Canis lupus familiaris: one gene and its partners. The protein of the gene in region 3 purifies or fractionates together with the protein of the main gene of each other region. This does not show direct contact. Links are inferred from orthologs where the notes say so. Each region holds a gene or a part of one and is shown on either strand. Other genes may lie near its edges. The genes, in order: PPP1R7, PPP1R11 and UBXN2A.

What was found.
Region 1: the proteins of UBXN2A (region 3) and PPP1R7 purify together in Homo sapiens (affinity purification with mass spectrometry; 3 studies listed by BioGRID and IntAct, counting the BioPlex papers as one, with this or other methods). This does not show direct contact. The link is inferred for Canis lupus familiaris from reciprocal best matches to the Homo sapiens genes UBXN2A and PPP1R7.
Region 2: the proteins of UBXN2A (region 3) and PPP1R11 purify together in Homo sapiens (affinity purification with mass spectrometry; 3 studies listed by BioGRID and IntAct, counting the BioPlex papers as one, with this or other methods). This does not show direct contact. The link is inferred for Canis lupus familiaris from reciprocal best matches to the Homo sapiens genes UBXN2A and PPP1R11.

Annotation. Positions count from the first base shown.
Region 1 is NC_049246.1:51,238,029-51,242,154, reverse strand, and holds the start of PPP1R7 (protein phosphatase 1 regulatory subunit 7), read right to left. Parts: upstream 2,925-4,126; 5' UTR 2,822-2,924; coding exon 2,770-2,821; intron 814-2,769; exon of another isoform or gene 752-813; intron 337-751; coding exon 196-336; intron 1-195. UniProt on the Homo sapiens protein: Regulatory subunit of protein phosphatase 1.
Region 2 is NC_049256.1:27,782,283-27,786,378, reverse strand, and holds PPP1R11 (E3 ubiquitin-protein ligase PPP1R11), read right to left. Parts: upstream 2,905-4,096; 5' UTR 2,675-2,904; coding exon 2,606-2,674; intron 2,424-2,605; exon of another isoform or gene 2,315-2,423; coding exon of another isoform or gene 2,294-2,314; intron 1,784-2,293; coding exon 1,675-1,783; intron 1,303-1,674; coding exon 1,100-1,302; 3' UTR 66-1,099; downstream 1-65. UniProt on the Homo sapiens protein: Atypical E3 ubiquitin-protein ligase which ubiquitinates TLR2 at 'Lys-754' leading to its degradation by the proteasome.
Region 3 is NC_049238.1:18,538,891-18,542,519, reverse strand, and holds part of UBXN2A (UBX domain-containing protein 2A), read right to left. Parts: intron 1,598-3,629; coding exon 1,439-1,597; intron 1-1,438. UniProt on the Homo sapiens protein: Acts to repress the ubiquitination and subsequent endoplasmic reticulum-associated degradation of CHRNA3 by the STUB1-VCP-UBXN2A complex in cortical neurons.

The DNA of each region.
Region 1 (4,126 bases), on a different chromosome or scaffold from region 3:
GCGGGCCTCTAGTGCTGCATCAGCAGACCCAGAGCCAGCCAAAGGAATGCCCCTCTCGCACAGCAGTCGTCCCACTGCCCAGAGCAGCCCCCACTGCCCTGGCCTGCCCACCACCCAAGGCGGTGGGGTGGGGCAGAGCAGATCATGCACCACACGGCTGCACCCTCCCCCCTTAGAGAGTTGAAGGCTCTTAACTGGGCCTGGTACCTTCTGGGTCCTCTTCTCCCTGCTCCTCTCCATCCTTCAGGCTCTGCTCACTGAGGTCGGCCACTATACCGCTGCTCTGCTTCTTCCCTTCCTCATCGCCAGATTCTTCAGACTCGACCCGCCTGTCAACTGAGCCCACACACATCCGTAAGAATTCACAGCCACTTTACGTGACTCCCCGAGGAACATTTAACAGACGGACATCCAGCTGTAAGTCAAAAAGACTTCATTGAAAAACATCGGTTGAAGTCAGCTCGACAAACATTTGAGTGTCTTCCGCGTCTTGGGCGCCACCTGAGGTGCACGGTGCTGGGGACAATTTGTGTGTGGGAGGGCAGAGCGGGAAGGACACGCGGGTACTGAGATGAGCAGCTACTATTCCTGCCCTCGAGGACACTGTGAAGCATTACCAGGTGTTCTGAAAGCCCTGGGTCATTTGTGACCAGGTACTAATGGGTGACACACAGTGAACGCCTCCTGTGCGGCTTGCTTTTGGCCTGGATGTCCACGTAGAGGGGACCAGTGTGACCCTTCCACCACATACCTTCATCCACGCTCCACTATCCATTTGGCCAAGAAAACCAGCCCAGTTCACAGGCCCACGTTCTGAAAGAAATCAAGACTAACTCAAATCAGACTGTGGGCAGAGGGGGGGGCTGTAATGAAAAAGGCGAAGACAGCCAGTAGCGCCAAACGCCCCACATAAAGGTCACCGATGCCAAACATCAGCACACAGTGATACCAGCTAACTGCTTTGAAAGGCTGGTAAATAAGTACTTTCTGAATTGATAGATAAGGCAATGACTAAACGTGGCAGACTGGCAAAATTTCTTTGCTAAGACCGTCAAATAATCTTCCCTTCTCCAGACTTTTTTCATCGTCTCCATTGGCAGTCTGTCTCAAAGAGCTGAAACAGGAATAAATCCCTGGGAGTCCTCAATCATCCTTGCTACGCCTCGTCCACAAAGGGGTGCACTCTTTGGGGGAAAAGTAGTTTTACTTCTTCTCTGTACCTCCTCCTGGGCCGAGAAAAGCGCGCCTGGGAAGCGACTGCTGGATAAAACCAAGTCCTTATGAACTCCGCCTCCCAAACCGCCAAATCCATTGCTTCTGCCCCCCTCTGGCGACTGCCTGGGCTCCCTCCTGGCCTCCTAACTGGTCTCTCTGTGGCTTTTTTTTGGGCTTTGTCTCATCTATTCTGCATTCCCAGAGCATCTGATGCGATTCTAACATCCGAATCTGAGCTCTGACTCTACAGGTTTCTGGAATGCCGGGGGCTCCTGCTGAAGATTTCACGTTGCCCTTAGAGACCCGGTGCCAACAGGCTGTTGGCTTTCCCAAGCCTCGCTCTCTGCATCTGTAACCAGGGGGCTGGGACAGGCCCCACAGACCAGAGGTGCTGTCCGGACTAACGCAGAAAAGCCTCCGGGGCAGTCGGCATGTGCATGACCCGCACTAAACACTCGGCAGTTAGCTGCTACCACGCACGGGGCACTCTGTGGCCGAGGCTAAGGGAGGGCGCCTTCCACTGGGCATAGTGTGGCTGTGCCCAGGGCGGCAGGGACTCCGCCTGACGACGGGAGGCCAAAGTGCAACGCGGGACCACCCTGCAGGCAGCAGACGGTCCGCAGCTGGGGCAGCGGATCCAATTATGGTGCAGTTTCGGGATCCCGGGAGCAAGGGGCTGGCCCACAGCATGGGCAGTGGGAACGGAGGAGGCACTGAAGACCTGGAGATGCCAGGACGTGCTAGGGAGCTTGCTGGGTAACGGGATGGGTGGGGACGGCCGGGCCGGGCCGGGGACGGAATCACTTGGCTTTTGCACGTGCCATTCACCCAGACTCCGAAAGGGCGACGTGCGGCGGACGGAGCGAGGGCTGTCTCCTGGCTGCCAAACACCCAGCCCCTCGCGGGGCCGCCCCGGCCTTCCCCTGCCGCCCTCCTCCGACCGGGCGGTCACTCTTGGCCGCTTCCCTCCACGGTCCTTGCCTCCGTCCTCCCCCGGCCCCGTGTGCAGGTGCCCGGGCCCCCCCTTCCTCCCGGCACTTGGCGCCCGGGTGAGGGGCTGCCCCGACCGGGACCCCCGCCCAGGCCGCCGACGCGGGCACCACGTGCGGATCATTATTATTTTTTTCCAACGGAGCTAAAGGGTCGGATTTAGCGTCTTGGGGCCAGAGGGCCCGGGCCGCTCGGCTCCCGCCCAGCCCTTCCCTCCGCGCCGCCGCGCGCCTCAGTTTCCCCAGGAGCTGCCGGGCTCGGAGGTTCGGGGCGCGGCGCCCGCCAGCAGCACGCCCGGCGTACCCGGCCCCGCCGCCCGTCCGCGCCCCGCCGCCCGCGCCCTCCCGGCCGCTGCAGCCTCTGCCGGGTCCCCGGGGCCGGGGCCGCCCCTGCCCCTGCCCCTGCCCCTGCCCCCGAGCCGGCAGCTGTCAGCGCGCGCGGCGGGGCCCGAGCCGGAGCGGCAGCCGCAGCCCGGACGGCCCGCTTCTCTCAGGCGAGGCCGCTGCGGGCCGCCGCCCCCCGCCCGCCCGGGCCCTCGGGCCGCCGCCCCGCGGAGCCGCTCACCCTCCATCATCTCCTGCGACTGTTGCTGGCCCGCGCCGCGTTCCGCCGCCATGTTGGCTGCTCTTCCCCTTTCCGGAATCTGTGGCCTCAGGCCCCTCGGCCAATCAGGGCTCCCGGCTCGGCGCCAGCTCAGCCAATGGGCTCCCACGCCAGGCTTGAACCCCGACGCGCTTGCGCGGCCCCAGTGTCTCATGGGAATTGTAGTTCACGGGGCAGGCCATGAGGGCCCCCGCCGCGGGAGCAGCCCGCCTCACCTCCCCGGGACAGGTAGTCTGAGCGCGCACCGCAGGCGTCCGGAGGCGTCCGGAGGCGAGCAGCGGGGAGGAGCAAGACGCACGGGACCGTGGCTGCAGGCAAGCGGAGGGAAGCGCCTGGGAGATGCTGGGGGCGCGCGGGCTCGTGCAGGGTCTCCGCGTGGGGCTGCACCGTGCGGGTCCCCCGAGTGCGTGCCGGCCCCTCCGGGCTCCGCCGCTGCGTCTGCACCGCGGCTGACTTCGTCCCGACGTCGCTGCGCGGACTCAGTCCGTGAGCGGCGGCTGCCTCCGGTTAACGCTCCGCGCAGGGCGCCCGCGCTGGAGCCGGGGTCGGAGCCGGGGCCGCCCGCCGGCGGGGGGGCGCCCGTCGGGGTCCGGGACGTCGCCCATCGTTGCGGGCCGCAGCCTCCGCCGGCCCCGCCGCTGAGGGAGCCTCCCCGCGCCCCCCGCCTCCCGGGCTGCAGACGGGGAGCCCCGCGCCGCTCACCCTTCCGGATTCGGAGACCAGAGCTGCCGAGTTGGTCAGACCCGGTGGGCGGGGGCGCCGTCTCTTTTGGCTCCTCCGGGGCGCCGTAAGGGGAGACCGGTGCGTCCCTAGCAACCGTTAGCGCGGGCTTCTGGGCGCCGGCTCGCGGAGTCCCGCCCACAGGCGCTACTGGTTGGCTCGCGGCGCCTGTCCATCGACGCGAGTCGTTCTGCGATTGGCCGGTGCGGCCGATCAGCCCCTCCCCGCGCGGCGAGGCGAATTTGGCGGCTTGGCCCAGGCGGGCCGCAGGTGAGATGGATGCCTGCCCCGGGGGAGGCGGCCGGCGGACGAGCCCGGGAGCCCCGCGCCCCCCGCGTCCCCTCCGTGCGGCTCCGCCCGGGGGGGCCCGCTGCCACCTTGCGGCCGTTTGCGGTGCCCTGGCCCGGGACCCGGGGCGACCCGCGTGTGTGGGGGAGGCCGGTGTGTGTGTGTGTGTGTGTGTGTGTGTGTGTGTGTGTGTGTAGGGGGAGGGGGCCCGGGGAGACCCGCGTGTGTGTGTGTGGGGGGGGGGGCCCGGGGAGAACGAGGGTGTGTGTAGGGGTGCCCGGGGCCCGGCCGCGCCCGCGCACAGTCCGCC
Region 2 (4,096 bases), on a different chromosome or scaffold from region 3:
AACTCATCCTTGTATATAGCTTCACATCTTTCCACATATGTATAAATGGGCCCATATTAAACACGTTTTGTGATGTTGGGTTATTTATTTTGTGCATCTGTGGCAATAAATGAGATCTCAGTGGTGGTATGGATTTGACTCATCTCTGCAACTGTGCATGGCACAGAGGCCTAGAAAATGTCAAGATCCCAGTAAGGAGTGGGAAGGGCAGAGAGCTGGACATCTGGGCTTTGGAAGGCAGGAGGATGAGGGTACTGTCTGGGACATGCCCCTTCTCTGTGCTCCCTGCATTTTCTTTCCTCTCTCAGGGACCCAGGGCCCTGGGACTGTGTAGGATTGGTCTCTGATGCCAGAAGACGGAGGAGATTGTTGGCTCTAAGTGACCAGTCTTCAAGTGTTGGCAATCCTTTATCTTATGAGAAGGGTGAGAAGAGGCCATACCTGTTTCCTTTTACATCTCCCATTAAAGATGAGAAAGCACAGACCTCTCTCCCTCAGCTCCTCTGGAGGGCATGAGGGAGGAGGACAGGAGAGGGGAAGGGTCGGGAGCTTGCCGGGAGCCCTCAGGTCTCCTGGGAGACCTTGGATCCCACAGGTAAGGACGAGGACTTCGGGTGATATAAATATGTAACTGGAAGAACTCTGAGCCAGGATTAACAGGCATAGCTGGGGAACACTGCCCCCAATCTGACAGGGACCCTGGCAGTGAAAGCCGGGGCAGCTGAAAACCCCATTTCAGCGTTTGGGACTCCAGGAAAGAATGCAAGGGGCCACACACGATAATTGGATCCTAGGACAGGTAGTTTGGCAGTGAGAACGAAGGGGAGAGACGAGGACCGTGACGCCTGAATCCCTGGAGAGCAGAGGATGAATACTGGAAGGAGAAACGAGGGCTGGGGGAACCCAAAAGTCTGGGCTCTGGAATAGCAGCAAGTTAGAATTCCAGGATCTCTGTGGACCCTCCTATCTTCCCTCCGTCAGGCAGAGGAGCAGGGAGAAGGGCTGGAGAGGGATCAAACCATGTGGGTTTAGTCCCCAGGTAGCCACATGAATACAGTCAGGGCCAGACAAACACAGGAGTGGTGGGGGAGAGAGGAATTTAGTGCTGCATTGGCCCTGGAGGGGGCTGGGAGGGGTCAGGAGGCTGCGGAGGGCTGGTGGGGCTTGGTCCTGGGGTTGTACGACGCTGTCCTTTGCGGTGGCCCCGAACACAGTGTGTATGACCACAGCCTTCCTCTTCCTCCTCATCACTCTCAGTGGAGCTCTCGCCAAAGGCCCGAGGTTTCTCGTAAATACAGCAACCTGGATTCGGAGGGAGGAGGCCAGGAAAGGAGCACCAGTTAACATATAATCAGTTGTACTCCTATTGGGTGTCAGCACTGGCTCCTTCTCCTTCCAGGGTCCAGCTTCTCTAGCCCCGCTGCCCCTGGGGCTCAGGCACACAAACCTGCCAATCCCAGGCACTTCCATGTCTCCCCTATAACCTTAATCCATGTCCCCGAAGCCAGAGAACCACCCAGGCTGTGACAAGGCTGTTAGCAGCTGGGGGCCTCAGGGTGGTCAGGTGTGAGAAGGAAGGCCAAGAGGGGTGGGGGCACAGAGGAGGCACCTGGGCTCCCCCACCCAGAGCTGGGTGGTGGGGTGGGGATGGGCAGCAGGGCAGTGAGCACTCACATTTGGATGAGCGGCGCCCCATGTGCTCATTGTCCACAGTGTCACTCGTCCATTCTACCTTCTTCTCTGGCTTCCGTTTCCGCAGTTTGATGGTCAGGCTCCGGTTCTCCTGGAAGGTGGGGAAAGACAGACATAGCCATCTGGTCCCCTCTGGCCGTCCCTTCCTCATCCCTCCCTGGGGGGTCATGTCTCCCAGCACCCCCCACCCCAGTCCATCAGGCCCCACCCAGGGTGGCAGAGGGGCCCGGCGCAGGTGGGGTAGCGCACAAGTGTGTGACCTCCGGGTCCCTGGGGAATTCTGCCGCTTCATATTCTGTGTCCATCCCAGCTTCGTGGACAGAGAAAACACAACTAACCTAGGAGGGTCCCCGCACATCTTCCAGGGAAAGCTCAACCCTCTCCGTCTCTCCATCCTCCTCCCCACATCGGCCTCGGTGTGACTAATGCTCGAGGAGGATTTTCTCAGCGCCCAGGACCTAACCTTCACCTGCGGCTCACTGTGAGGATCCCCGGACCCTCCCGGGCTTGCGCCCGCACCCGTGCACCCAGCCCCCGCCCCGGTCCTGCCAGGGCCCTCAACAAGGCGTGCAGCCCAGCGCACTCCGGTCCCGAGCTGCACCTCTTCGGACTCCCACATCATGCCCTGGTGTCCTCGAGGGGCGCTCACGGGCGGCCGTCCGTCAGGTGCTTCCCGACCCAGGGGGCGCCCCGGGGTCCCCCGCCCCGACTCTGAGCCTGTGGTGCGCCTTCTGCAACGGAACCACCGCTGGGCCCTGCCCCCGGGGTCCCCCTAGGCTCCCGCGCCAGCTCCGAGTCCCCAGCACGCCCCCCCCCCCCGCCCGCCCCCTCCGCAGCCCTGACCCCGCCCCGCCCCCGCCCCCGGCCCGTCCCCGTCCCCGCCGCGGGCGCCACCGTCCCCCGCCTTTCTCACGGGCTCAGTTGTCACGGTAACGGTGGTCTCCGTGACGGTCTCACTCAGCCCGGCTCCTGCCTCGGCCATGGCTGAGGCTGCGGAGAGGGCAGAGGGCGGCGGGGCAGGAAGCGGCCTTCCCGGTGTCTCCGAGCTCTAAGACGACCGGACCGGGATCGGGATCGGGATCGGATTCGGAGGAGCAGCCAGGACCCTCCAGCGCCTCGGCCCCTCCTCCTCGGCCTCCGCTTCCCCCCGGGGTAACCTGCCCAGCTCCACTTCCGGCTCGCCGCTTCCGGGTGTGACGCACTCCGCCGTCGCCGTCCCTTCCTGGCGCCGAAGGTCTCCGGACGCATGCGCCGCCGGACTAGTTCTCCCGTCACGTGACGGTGAGCAGGTGCCGCAGCCCGCAGAGAAGGCGACGCTGCGGGGAGCGGACGTTGCGCAGGCGCGGCCCGAGACCCGGCGGGAGCGCGGTCCCCGAGGGCCGCGGGGGCGGGGCGCAGGTCCCTGGCTGGGCGCAGGGTATGGGATGCGGTTACCCAGGTGCGTGGTGCGGGCGCCGGGACCCCCGCCGCGCGGCGCCTGGTCCCGGACTGGAGCACCGGCCCCGGAGCTCCAGCAGGTGCAAGCGCCAGGTCAGGGCTGGGCTCCCTTAGGCGCCGCCGGGAATCCCCCTCCCCCTCCTCGGCCTCCCGCAGTCCTCTGGGGGCCTCGTGGGTGTAGGAATAACGTGCGGGCTCTGAGATGCTGACGTGAGCGAGGCTGCGGGGCGTGGCGGTGAAATCCGCTACCGAGTGGCCCGCAAGAGCTACCGACAGCAGAGGCCGAGCTGCGGTCCACGGAGCACCTGCCTTTTTGTCGGGCAGAGATGGCCAAAGGGGCCTGGTTGGCAGGTGCGGGTGAGGCCAGGTGCGTGCTGCAGGCATGAGGTTCTGCAGGGAAAGCTTGGGGAGCCTGCACCAGCCGCGGCGGGAGGGGTGAGGGCCGCCGCCGGCGGTGGCATCCGGCAGCAACCGGGGAGGAGACTCTGGACGATGCCTGTTAACAGAAGTGGTCAGGGAAGTCCGCCCTGCCCGTCCCATCAGTTCCCACTACGTCGCCCGGGGCTCAGACACCTCAGGGAAAGTCTCAGAGCTCAGAACACACAAAGGACCGGGCAGTGTGCAAGCCAAGGAATGCAAAAATTGACTCCAAACTAAGTTTGAATGTTTATTGTGGCCGGACTACAAAATTTCGTTCAATGTGATAAAAAGCAAGATACAACTTGTATTCGTAGTAAAGCCCATTTAAAAAAAAAAAAAAAAGTATCTCTCTGAAGTAGGATTCCTTGTCATTTTTTACTCTACCTTTCCATATATGAATTTATCACAATGAATATACATTTATGTCAACAGCAATAAAAAAATACAATTTTCAAAATGTCCAATGTGTTCAGCATATACTGGTAAACCTTAGTATCAGACTTCTCCTTGTTCCAGCTCACACGTCAGACACATCTGGTTACGTTAT
Region 3 (3,629 bases):
AACTATACCCTGAGCAGAAACCAAAAGCCAGACACTTAACTGACTGAGCCACCCAGGAGCCCTATTTATGACTGCTTTACAATCTAAACGAGGGATGCCTGGGTGGCTCAGCAGTTCAGCGTCTGCCTTTGGCTCAGGGCGTGATCCTGGAGTTCTGGGATCAAGTCCCATATCGGGCTCCCTGCATGGAGCCTGCTTCTCCCTCTACCTGTGTCTCTGCCCCTCTCTGTGTCTCTCATGAACAAATAAATAAAATCTTAAAAATAAAAAAATCTAAACTAATTATTTGAAAATGAGCAAAGCAACTCAGTATTTTCTAATATACATATGTACTTAATAAAATAATAAATAAAAGAAAAATCATTAACACAACATTCAGAATACAGCACTTCTTGCACAAAAAGAAAGAGATGATCAAGTAAAGGCACATAAATATACTGGTATATATTCTGGGTTAGTGTATATATGTGTGTGTGTGTGTGTGTAGTAAAGGGGGGGCAGAAGAAGAGGGGGAGAGAGAATCTTTTTCTTGTTAAAGATTTTATTTATTTGAGAGAGAGAGAGAGAGCACGTGAGAGCATGAGCAGAGAGAAGGGCAGAGGGAGAGGGAAAAGCAGACTTCCCACTGAGCAGAGAGCCCAAAACAAGGCTCAATCCCAGGAGCCCCTTAGATATATAATTTTTTTTTTAAAGATTTTATTTATTTTTTCCTGAGAGACAGACACAGAGAGAGAAAAAGAGAGAGAAGCAGAGACACAGGCAGAGGGAGAAGCATGCTCCATGGGAGCCCAACGGTGGGACTCGATCCCGGATCTCCAGGATCACGTCCTGGGCCGAAGGTGGTGCTAAACCGCTGAGCCACTCGGGCTGCCCTAGATATGTAATTTTAAAAGAATTATTATTTTTAAGATTTGAAAAATTTATTTGACAGAGACAGAGAGAGAGAGAGAGTGAGAGAGAGAGAGCCCACGCACAAGCAGGGGAAGCAGAAGGCAGAGGCAGAGGGAGAAGCAGGCTCCCCTCTGAGCAAGGAGCCCGATGCAGCACTCGATTTCATGACCCTGGGATCATGACCTGAGGCCGAAGGCAGACACTTAACCAACTAAGCCACCCAGGTGCCCCATAAAGTAATTATTTTTAGTATGTCCTAAGAGATTCTCTCTCTCTCTCTCCAGGGACCCCCTAAAAATAAATAAATAAATCTTAAATAAAATAAAAATTATGTATCTAGTTATACAGGAAAACCAATCAAATGATAAAAATGATAATCCTAAAACAAACTGAAAATACTTCATTAATTTCCAAAATTTCTACTATCAAGATATATTATGTTTAGAGAACTGGTAGATTCTTGGTTAATTCTTAAAAACTGCTGAATGACCTGAAAAGAAATTTAAACATGAAAAAATTCAGACAAATAATGAAATGGAAGACTCACCTATGAGAAATGTTAAATTTTTGGACAATCCTTTTTCCATTGGCTAACCAGATCTGTACATTAGTGATGGGTTCCAGGTTGTTTAGTTGAACAACAGACAAATTATTTTTATTCTCAACTTCAATACTCTTTGACTTAGAAACAATTTTTGGTGTGGCACTAAGAAAAGCCAGACAACAAAGTTAGATGAATATCGTTATTAAGCAGAACTTAATCACTGAACAATTACTATAAAACTTTTACATTAAGTATACCTTTTAGGAAGATTTTATTAAGTCACAGCTCAATAAAAACACAAAGATATAATATTACTTATGTCCATCATATATGATGAATGTAGGCACCTAATGAAATTATACATATCCAAGTAACTTGTAAGACTGTAGAGTGCTATGTAAACATATTGTGAGTAATTATTCAAATAATGTCTTACAGAATAGACAATTTTATAGGGCTGACATATCTGTAAACTTTACCTTTATGTACTATTCCCCAGATTAAAATTTCTATAAGAATTTAGAAGTTCTCAAAAACAAAAACAGGCCAAGAAAACAGAAAGAAAACAAAGGCAGGGGATCCCTGGGTGGCGCAGCGGTTTGGCGCCTGCCTTTGGCCCAGGGCGCGATCCTGGAGACCCGGGATCGAATCCCATGTCGGGCTTCCGGTGCATGGAGCCTGCTTCTCCCTCTGCCTATGTCTTTGCCTCTCTCTCTCTCTCTCTCTATGTGTGTGACTATCATAAATAAAAAGAAAAAAAAAAAAAAAGAAAAAAAAAGGCAGGGGGGAATGTGCTGGATAGCTCAGTTGAGTCTGAGCCCTGTATTTCTCTATAGAAATTAGTTCTTGTATTAGAAAGGGGAGCGGGGGGGGGGGGGGGGAAGGAAGCAAAGTATATCCTGATTATTCTGAAAGTCACATCTGAATAATTTTATATGTGTGGATGAATATACAGATATCTTTATCAATCTGGATAATCTATGAGAATTCATAAGACTGACCACATATCTAACCTCTTTGTATACTGTCATAAAGCCTACTTAGAGGGCAGCCCAGCTGGCTCAGCAGTTTAGCGTCACCTTCAGCCCAGGGTGTGGTCCTGGAGACCCAGGATCAAGTCCCACGTTGGGCTCCCTGCATGGAGCTTGCTTCTGCCTGTGTCTGTGCCTCTCTCTCTCTGTGTATGTGTCTCTCATGAATAAATAAATAAAATCTTAGAAAAAAAAAAACGTGGGATCCCTGGGTGGCACAGTGGTTTGGCGCCTAGGCGCCTTTGGCCCAGGGCACGATCCTGGAGACCCGAGATCGAATCCCACGTCGGGCTCCCGGTGCATGGAGCCTGCTTCTCCCTCTGCCTATGTCTCTGCCTCTCTCTCTCTCTATCATAAATAAATAAAACTGAAAAAAAAGGGATCCCTGGGTGGCGCAGTGGTTTAGCGCCTGCCTTTGGCCCAGGGCCCGATCCTGGAGACCTGGGATCGAATCCCACATCGGGCTCCTGGTGCATGGAGCCTGCTTCTCCCTCTGCCTATGTCTCTGCCTCTCTCTTTCTCTCTCTCTCTCTCTGTGTGACTATCATAAATAAATAAAAATTTTAAAAAAATGAAAAAAAAAAACCTAACCTACTTACATATGATGAAGACTGTAAATTTGACAGTTAAAGGCTTTGATAGGGATACTAACTTTATCACTCATTTTTTCATTTTTATTACTTCAAATTCAGATACTTATCACAGAATATAATGTGGAAGGCACTGGTAATTATAAAACGTACCCTATATTCAGAAGCTAGCATATGTACTCTGTAACATTAATGGCAATGCTCACGTAGTGGGTGCAAAGGAGAAAAAAGATTTGCCCATGAATTGCCTAAGGTCCTCAATAATCTAGGTCCTTTTAATTTGGTTACATCAAAAAAGACTCCATGATTTCTTTTTCTTCTTTTTTTTTTTTTTAAATTTTAAAGATTTTATTTATTTATTCATGAGAGAGATAGAGAGGCAGAGACACAGGCAGAGGGAGAAGAAGGCTCCATGCACCGGGAGCCCGATGTGGGATTCGATCCCGGGTCTCCAGGATCGCACCCTGGGCCAAAGGCAGGCACTAAACCACTGCGCCACCCAGGGATCCCCATGATTTCTTAATGTACTGTCAGTATATGTTAATTTACACTAAGGTAAATAAGAGTTAGGAC